Macaca fascicularis: one gene and its partner. The protein of the gene in region 2 interacts with the protein of the main gene of each other region in a pairwise test. Links are inferred from orthologs where the notes say so. Each region holds a gene or a part of one and is shown on either strand. Other genes may lie near its edges.

The links.
Region 1: the proteins of SAR1A (region 2) and SLC38A7 interact in binary tests that used the Homo sapiens proteins (3 or more experiments, as listed by UniProt). The link is inferred for Macaca fascicularis from reciprocal best matches to the Homo sapiens genes SAR1A and SLC38A7.

Annotation. Positions count from the first base shown.
Region 1 is NC_088394.1:54,780,673-54,784,320, reverse strand, and holds part of SLC38A7 (sodium-coupled neutral amino acid transporter 7), read left to right. Parts: intron 1-1,310; coding exon 1,311-1,510; intron 1,511-2,459; coding exon 2,460-2,514; intron 2,515-3,648. UniProt on the Homo sapiens protein: Symporter that selectively cotransports sodium ions and amino acids, such as L-glutamine and L-asparagine from the lysosome into the cytoplasm and may participates in mTORC1 activation. The transport activity requires an acidic lysosomal lumen.
Region 2 is NC_088383.1:76,254,966-76,258,713, reverse strand, and holds the start of SAR1A (small COPII coat GTPase SAR1A), read right to left. Parts: upstream 2,227-3,748; 5' UTR 2,188-2,226; exon of another isoform or gene 2,125-2,187; intron 1-2,124. UniProt on the Homo sapiens protein: Small GTPase that cycles between an active GTP-bound and an inactive GDP-bound state and mainly functions in vesicle-mediated endoplasmic reticulum (ER) to Golgi transport.

The DNA.
Region 1 (3,648 bases), on a different chromosome or scaffold from region 2:
AGAAGCGCCCTTTGTCCTGGGGTCACCAGAACATTCCGTGAGTCCTGTAAGAATATCCAGGGCGGCCGGGCGCGGTGGCTGAAGCCTGTAATCCCAGCACTTTGGGAGGCCGAGACGGGCGGATCACGAGGTCAGGAGATCGAGACCATCCTGGCTAACACAATGAAACCCCGTCTCTAGGCGCGGTGGCTCAAGCCTGTAATCCCAGCACTTTGGGAGGCCGAGACGGGCAGATCACGAGGCCAGGAGATCGAGAGACGATCCCGGCTAACACGGTGAAACCCCGTCTCTACTAAAAAATACAAAAAAACTAGCCGGGCGAGGTGGCGGGCGCCTATAGTCCCAGCTACTCGGGAGGCTGAGGCAGGAGAACGGCGTAAACCCAGGAGGCGGAGCTTGCAGTGAGCTGAGATCCGGCCACTGCACTCCAGCCTGGGTGACAGAGCAAGACTCCGTCTCAAAAAAAAAAAAAAAAAAAAAAAAAAAGAAACCCCGTCTCTACTAAAAATACAAAAAAATTAGCCGGGCGAGGTGGCGGGCGCCTGTAGTCCCAGCTACTCGGGAGGCTGAGGCAGGAGAATGGCGTAAACCCGGGAGGCGGAGCTTGCAGTGAGCCGAGATAGCGCCACTGCACTCCAGCCTGGGCGACAGAGCGAGACTCCGTCTCAAAAAAAAAAAAAGAATATCCAGGGCATGGCACGGTGGCTCATGTCTCTAATCCCAGCACTTTTGGAGGCTGAGGCAGAAGGATCACTTGAGCCCAGGAGTTCAAGACCACTTGGGCAACCTAGTGAGACCCCCATCTCTACACAAAATAAAATAAATAGCCAGGTGTGGTGGCATGCACCTGTGGTCCCAGCTACTCAGCCACTTGGGAGGCTGAGGCAGAAGGATGGCTGGAGCCCAGGAGTTCAAGGCTGCAGTGAGCCAAGATTGCACCACCGCACTCCAGCCTGGGTGAGAGAGCCAGACCCTGTCTCAGAAAAAAACAAAAGAATCTCTATCCAGATCCTTTCCTGAGCTTTCACGTGGACACCCTGCCCTTTGCATACCCCAGAGAGTTCCTTTTAAGGAAAAAACTATATCAGTTTCCATGTGATGTAAAGCAAAGTGCTAAGCTCTCCACATTCACCATCTCTAGTCCCCGTGGTAAACAGAGTGCTGGTGGCCCATTTTACAGAAGAGGAAACTGAGGCTCAGGAATGGGGCTTTCCCTGCCGTCTACCCAATTAGGAGTCTGGCTCCTGTGAGCTAGAGGTGGGAGGCTGCTAGCGGCAGGAGCACCTCTAAGCCCCTCTCCATGTGGGCAGGGCGGTGGTGGAAGGCCTGTGGCTGCGCTACCAGGGGGTGCCAGTGGAGGAGGACGTGGGGCGGGAGCGGCGGCGGCGAGTGCTGCAGACGCTGGTCTGGTTCCTGCTCACCCTGCTGCTGGCGCTCTTCATCCCTGACATCGGCAAGGTGATCTCAGTCATTGGAGGCCTGGCCGCCTGCTTCATCTTCGTCTTCCCAGGTGCGGACCCCTGGCGCCCCATCACAGCCCCACAGCACAGACTCCCAGGGCCTCCCTAGCCTCTGCTCCCTACTTAATCCAAACATGCAGGAGAGAGTAACCACCATCACTGACTAATCAACTGCCTCGCCTCTGTGATGGCCCCTGTCCAAGCATTATCTCCTGGAAAGAAGGTGTAGTTGTGATCTCCAGTTTACCTGGAAAGAAGGTGTAGTTGTGATCTCCAGTTTACCTGGAAAGAAGGTGTAGTTGTGATCTCCAGTTTACTGATGGCACGTGGGGCTCAGAAAGGGTCACAGACTTGCCTAGAGCTTAACAAACTCGACTAGTAACAAACCTTTTCCATCCCACACTGTCTGGGTTCAGAGTCTGTTCTCTTAACCATTCATTCAGGTGTCTGCTGCTCCCTAACTGAGGGATCTGTCTGGCTGGTTCAGCCCATTACAGCCCAGAGAGCAGTAGGGTCTAGGGGTGACACCCTGACACAGACATCAGAGGACCTGGGTTCCAGACACAGATCTACCACCAGATCCCTGGAGAAGTGTCCTGTTGGCCCAGCCATGAGTTCTACCCTTACCCAACTTGTCTTTATCCAGGAAGCCACCCTCAAAGCCCCAGCTACTTTGCTGGAGCAGGGGAGCCAGATCTGCTCGGAAGTGTACTGGGAAGACCCCTGGGGTTGGGCCACCACTGAGTCACCATTGAGTGCTGTCCCTTTAGCTCTGAGTCTAGCATGCTGCCCAAGGGATCTTATCAGATGCTGGCCTGTCATGGGAGAGCAGATGCCAGACGTCCTCAGGTGGATGTGGCATGGGGGCAGAGATGGAATTTCTAGAAGAGTAAACATGGGCCTTTCTCCATCCAGCACTGCTTCTTGGGAAAGGGGAAGGTTAGGAGGGAGGGAGCCCTCTCCCCTCACGAATGCTCAGGGCCACTTCTTCTCTTCTAGGGCTGTGCCTCATTCAAGCCAAACTCTCCGAGATGGAAGAGGTCAAACCAGCCAGGTAAAGCAGGGCCCAGTCCTTGATCCTCTCAGGGAGGCACTGGATTGGAACATGGCTTTGTGGGGGCCTTAAAACAGATAGGAGTCAGAGGCTTGTGTACTTAGAAATCATGGGTTTGGTTTTGTTTTGTTTTTGAGACGGAGTCTCGCCCTGTCGCCCAGGCTGGAGTGCAGTGGCACAGTCTCGGCTCACTGCAAGCTCCGCCTCCCAGGTTCATGTCATTCTCCTGCCTCAGCTTCCCGAGTAGCTGGGACTACAGATGCCCGCCACCACACCCAGCTAATTTTTGTATTTTTAGTAGAGATAAGATTTCACCATGTTGGCCAGGCTGGTCTCGAACTCCTGACCTTAGGTGATCCTCCTTCCTTGGCCTCCCAAAGTGCTGGCATTACAGGTGTGAGCCACCACACCCAGCTGGGTTTTTTGTTTTTTTTTTTTTTAATACTTTAAAAATTGGGTAGTGTGCTAGGTGTTAACAATTTGAACATTAATAAAGGGCTTAATAGAAAAAGATGGAAGTCCCAGTTCCCCCACAACCCACTCGCCCCCACATCCCTTCTCCTGAGATAGCTCCATGTTACCAGTACGGTCTGTGTCCTTCTCAACCACTTGTGTACATGTGTGCATGTCTGTGTACACATAGCTATGCAGATGTATATACAGTTGCAGGGCATTTGTTTTGTTTTATGAAAAATGATTTCAGCCTGGTGCAGTGGCTCACACCTGTAATCCCAACACTCTGGGAGGCCAAGGCAGGTGGATCACCTGAGGTCAGGAGTTCAAGACCAGGCTGGCCAATGTGGTGAAACCACGTCTCTACTAAAAATACAAAAAAAATTACCTGTGCATAGTGGTGGCCACCTGTAGTCCCAGCTACTCGGGAGGCTGAGGCAGGAGACTCGCTTGAACCTGGGAGGAGGAGGTTGCGGTGAACCAAGATCGCACCATTGCACTCTAGCCTGGTGACAAAGTGAACCTCTATCTCAAAAAAAAAAAATGATTTCAGGTTCAGGTTTCGCTTTCCTGTTCTAGTCCCGTTGTTCCAGTTTCTAGTCAGATCTCCACCCCTTACAGTCCCATACCACGTTCAAACAGGTTTTGTTAAAGCTCTTATCCCACCTTTCTCAGCCTATA
Region 2 (3,748 bases):
TTGCAGAATTCATCTAGTTGAAAATACTTGGCTCATGACTGTAATCCCAGCACTTTGGGAGGCCGAGGCGAGTGGATGACCTGAGGTCAGGAGTTCGACACCAGCCTGGCCAACATGGTGAAACCCCGTCTCTACTTAAAACACAAAAATTAGCTAGGTGTGGTGGCGGGCGCCTGTAATCCCAGCTACTCGGGAGGTTGAGGCAGGAGAATCTCTTGAACCCAGGAGGCAGAGGTTGCAGGGAGCCGAGGTCACGACATTGCACTCCATCTGGACAACAAGACCAAAAACTCCATCTCAAAAAAAAAAAAAAAAAAGAAAAAGAAATAAAATATTTCTAAAGTGATGTAAATATTGTTTACAAGTCTGTAAAGTACTGACTGAAAACCCGTGTAGTACAAATGTATACAGAAGTGTTGGATTGTAAAGAAGTGACCAGAGTGGAGGCTGACTAAAGAAACTCTTCAGGTGAGTTAAAAATAATAAAAACCCTTAATAGATCCAAAGAGTTGGGTTGTACCACCACCCAAAATTAAGAAAACGCCCCCGCCCCCCTTTTTTTTTTTAGACAGACCAAGACTCTGCTTCCCAGGCTTAAGTGCAGTGTTGCCATCATGGCTCACTGCACCCCCAACCTCCCAGGCCCAAGAGATCCTCCCACCTCAGCCTCCTCAGTAGCTGAAAATGGCCTTGGTGGCTCCTCTCTCCTTAAGATCTTAGGATTTGTACCAACTCATCAGTAGTTTTACAATTTGTACAGTACCTGTACATCTCATTTCATCCTCACACCAACCCTACCAGGCAAGGATCATTGGCCTCATTTAACAAGATGAAGATGAAGATACTCCTAGTTTTGCTGAGTAGTTGAAGACTGCTCAGCTGAAAAACTAATAGTGCCAGTGCTTAAACCCTCATCTCTAACACCAAAGCCTAAGCTCTTCCTGTTAACAGTACATAAAATTCAAACCCAAATCACAAAATTGCTGGAAAAAAAAAAAAAACCTAAAATTTCTTTAACCCACCAACTACACAGAGGATGATCTTCCTAAGTTCTCTTCCTTACAATTCATCACATCTTTTGAATGGTATTTTAATAACTAGCATTCTATTTATTTTCTATTCTTGGTCCATTGTACCACCTTACGAAAAGTTAAGAGTAATCTAAAATTTAAGGTAGGTCTCTAAACTATCAACAAAACACTATTAATGTACCTAAAATGAAAACTTGTGAATTCCAGAGCTAAAAGATTCAAACAAAAGTTAATAGAAAAGGAAGTGCACCAATCTGACCATTAGCCAATTTAAAAATTTACGCATTACTTGTTATACATAATCAGGGCAACTTTAAGACGCCATTCCAGGCAGATTTGGGGTAGTAGGCGGCTGGCTTTTAGCTAACGCTGCTTAGCTGCGGGGTAAATGTCAAAGGTCAGCCCCATGGCAAATCTCCCTAAGCCCCCTGTCGCAACAGAAGCAGATGGAATCAAGATAAAGATACCCAGTGGCTAGAATCGTGAAGAAAACGCTAATCCATGTCAAATGCACATAAGGAAATTTTTCCATGCAGAGACCAGACAGGGGAAAAGGGGAAGGTGGAAGGAGAAAATACAGGGTTCGACCCGGGCCATCGGACGACAACCGAGCGCTGACTTGGGTGTAAGCCCCGGACTAGGGGCCTGTAGACCAGGTTCGAGCGCTCACACTCGCTAACTGCGGAGCCTTGGCCAGCCTCAGTCCCCGAGTCTATAAAACAAGGATAATGATCAAGAGGTCCCACCCGCCTCACCGAGGGCTGTGAGGCTCTTTTGAGACAGAGGACATGGAGCCGTTTCGTAAACCGGAGGGCACGGTACAGACAAGAAGCTGTTATCCGGCCCAGCAGCTGCGAGACCCCCGAGCGGAATGCAGGTGGACCCCAGGCCAAAGAGGACAGCAGGGGACTGAGCAAATCCGGCCGACTCGGCCCGTCCCCGCCCAGAATCAGCCGGCGGCCCCACAGAACCGCCTGCGTGTCACTTCCCCGCCCCCAACCCCGCCAGGGCCAGCCTCCGCTCCGACCTCCCCGCCTTCCGTCCCAGCCCCTCGAGCTCCAACTACCCTCCCCGACGCGGCCCTCAGACTCACGGCCTGAGGGGCTCCTCGGGCAAAACGGCGACAGGCTCCGACCCTCCCTCAGAGCACACTAACCAGCAACACCCGGGACCGCCAGCTACTCGCCGGATGTACGTCACATCCCTCCCCGGGACTTCCGGGCGCGTAATTGGCCCCGCCCCCTCGCAGCGTTACGCCTCTCTGCCCCGGTGCCTGCCCACCTGCTACTCCGGCCGCGGAGGGGCGGGCATAAGGCCTGACAAAGCGCGCGCCACGTCCCGCCAGCTCCCGCCTGCCGAGCTGACCGCGCGAGACGTGGCAGTACCGGGACGCTGGGTCTGGGTCTGGGTCCTGGAGTCCCTGAGCGGCCTGGGACCCTCGGAATCGCGGCTTCCCATTCCAGACGCACCAGGAAAAAAGTAGGAAGTGGGGACCGACGGTGGCATAGGTCCTGGGAAAGATTACTTGACCTTGGGGACCTCCACTTGAGGTGGATCCCTCCAAGCTTTTGCTTTTTTTTTCTTGCTTTTTTTTTTTTTTTTTTTTTTGAAACGGAGTCTCACTTTGTCACCCAGGCTGGAGTGCAGTGGCGCGATGTCGGCTCACTGCAACCTCCACCTCCCGAATTCAAGCGATTCTGATGCGTCCGCCTCCCGAGTAGCTGGGATTACAGGCGCATGTCACCACACCCGGCTAATTTTTTGTATTTTTGTAGAGACGGGGTTTCACCGTGTTGGCCAGGCTAGTCTCGAACTCCTGACCTTAAGTGATATGCCGGCCTCGGCCTTCCAAAGTGCTGGAATGAGAGGCGTGGGCCACCGCACCCTAATGCTTTTGCTTTGAGTTGCACTTCCTTGCCCTGGGATGGCCTACGTTTTAGAAAAACAGCTAATATTTATTGTGCACTTATGTTTCAGGCAGAGCACTGGGTGATTTGCGCGCTTTGTCTAATTTCACCCTCATTGGAGTCCTGTGAAGCAGATGCTAGGATTATCCTTATTAACAAATGAGAGAGCAATGTTCAGAATAACCTACCACACCCAAGTTCACACAGCTAAGTGGCAAAGCAACGTGTTCACCCCAGTATATTTCGCATGCATTTTCTCATTTAATTCTCAGGACAGTGATACGAGATTGGTACTATTATTGCTCTCATTTTACAAATGAAACAGTCTAATGGAAAGATGAATGACGTCTGTGGATTCATGATCTCAATTCTCCTTAAGTAAAATTTAAATTTAACATAATCCCAATAAAAGTACTAATAGGATTAATAGATTGTGTGTGGTTTAGTTTTTTTGTTTTTTTTTTTAATTACCCTATTTGTTCCTAAAATTCGTGTAGAAAACCAAACAAGGCTAGTCCAGAAACAGGCTCTCAAAATGAAGAACCAGGAGGTGGGAACTAACCCTGTTGGATATTAAAACATATTATAGAGCTGGTGTGCACACACACACAGAAACACACACACACAAAACACAATGGAACAGAGAAAAGCACAGAAATAGACTAAAGTACATGCAGAAATAAAACTAAAGTAGCACCTGGCACTCCAGCAATAATCAGGGAGCTGAGTAGGCAAGCTCACCACCCTCTACCCTCTGCTCATCCTGGGGTCTTTGATGTTGAATTTTAATCTGTCCAGTCACAGAAAGGG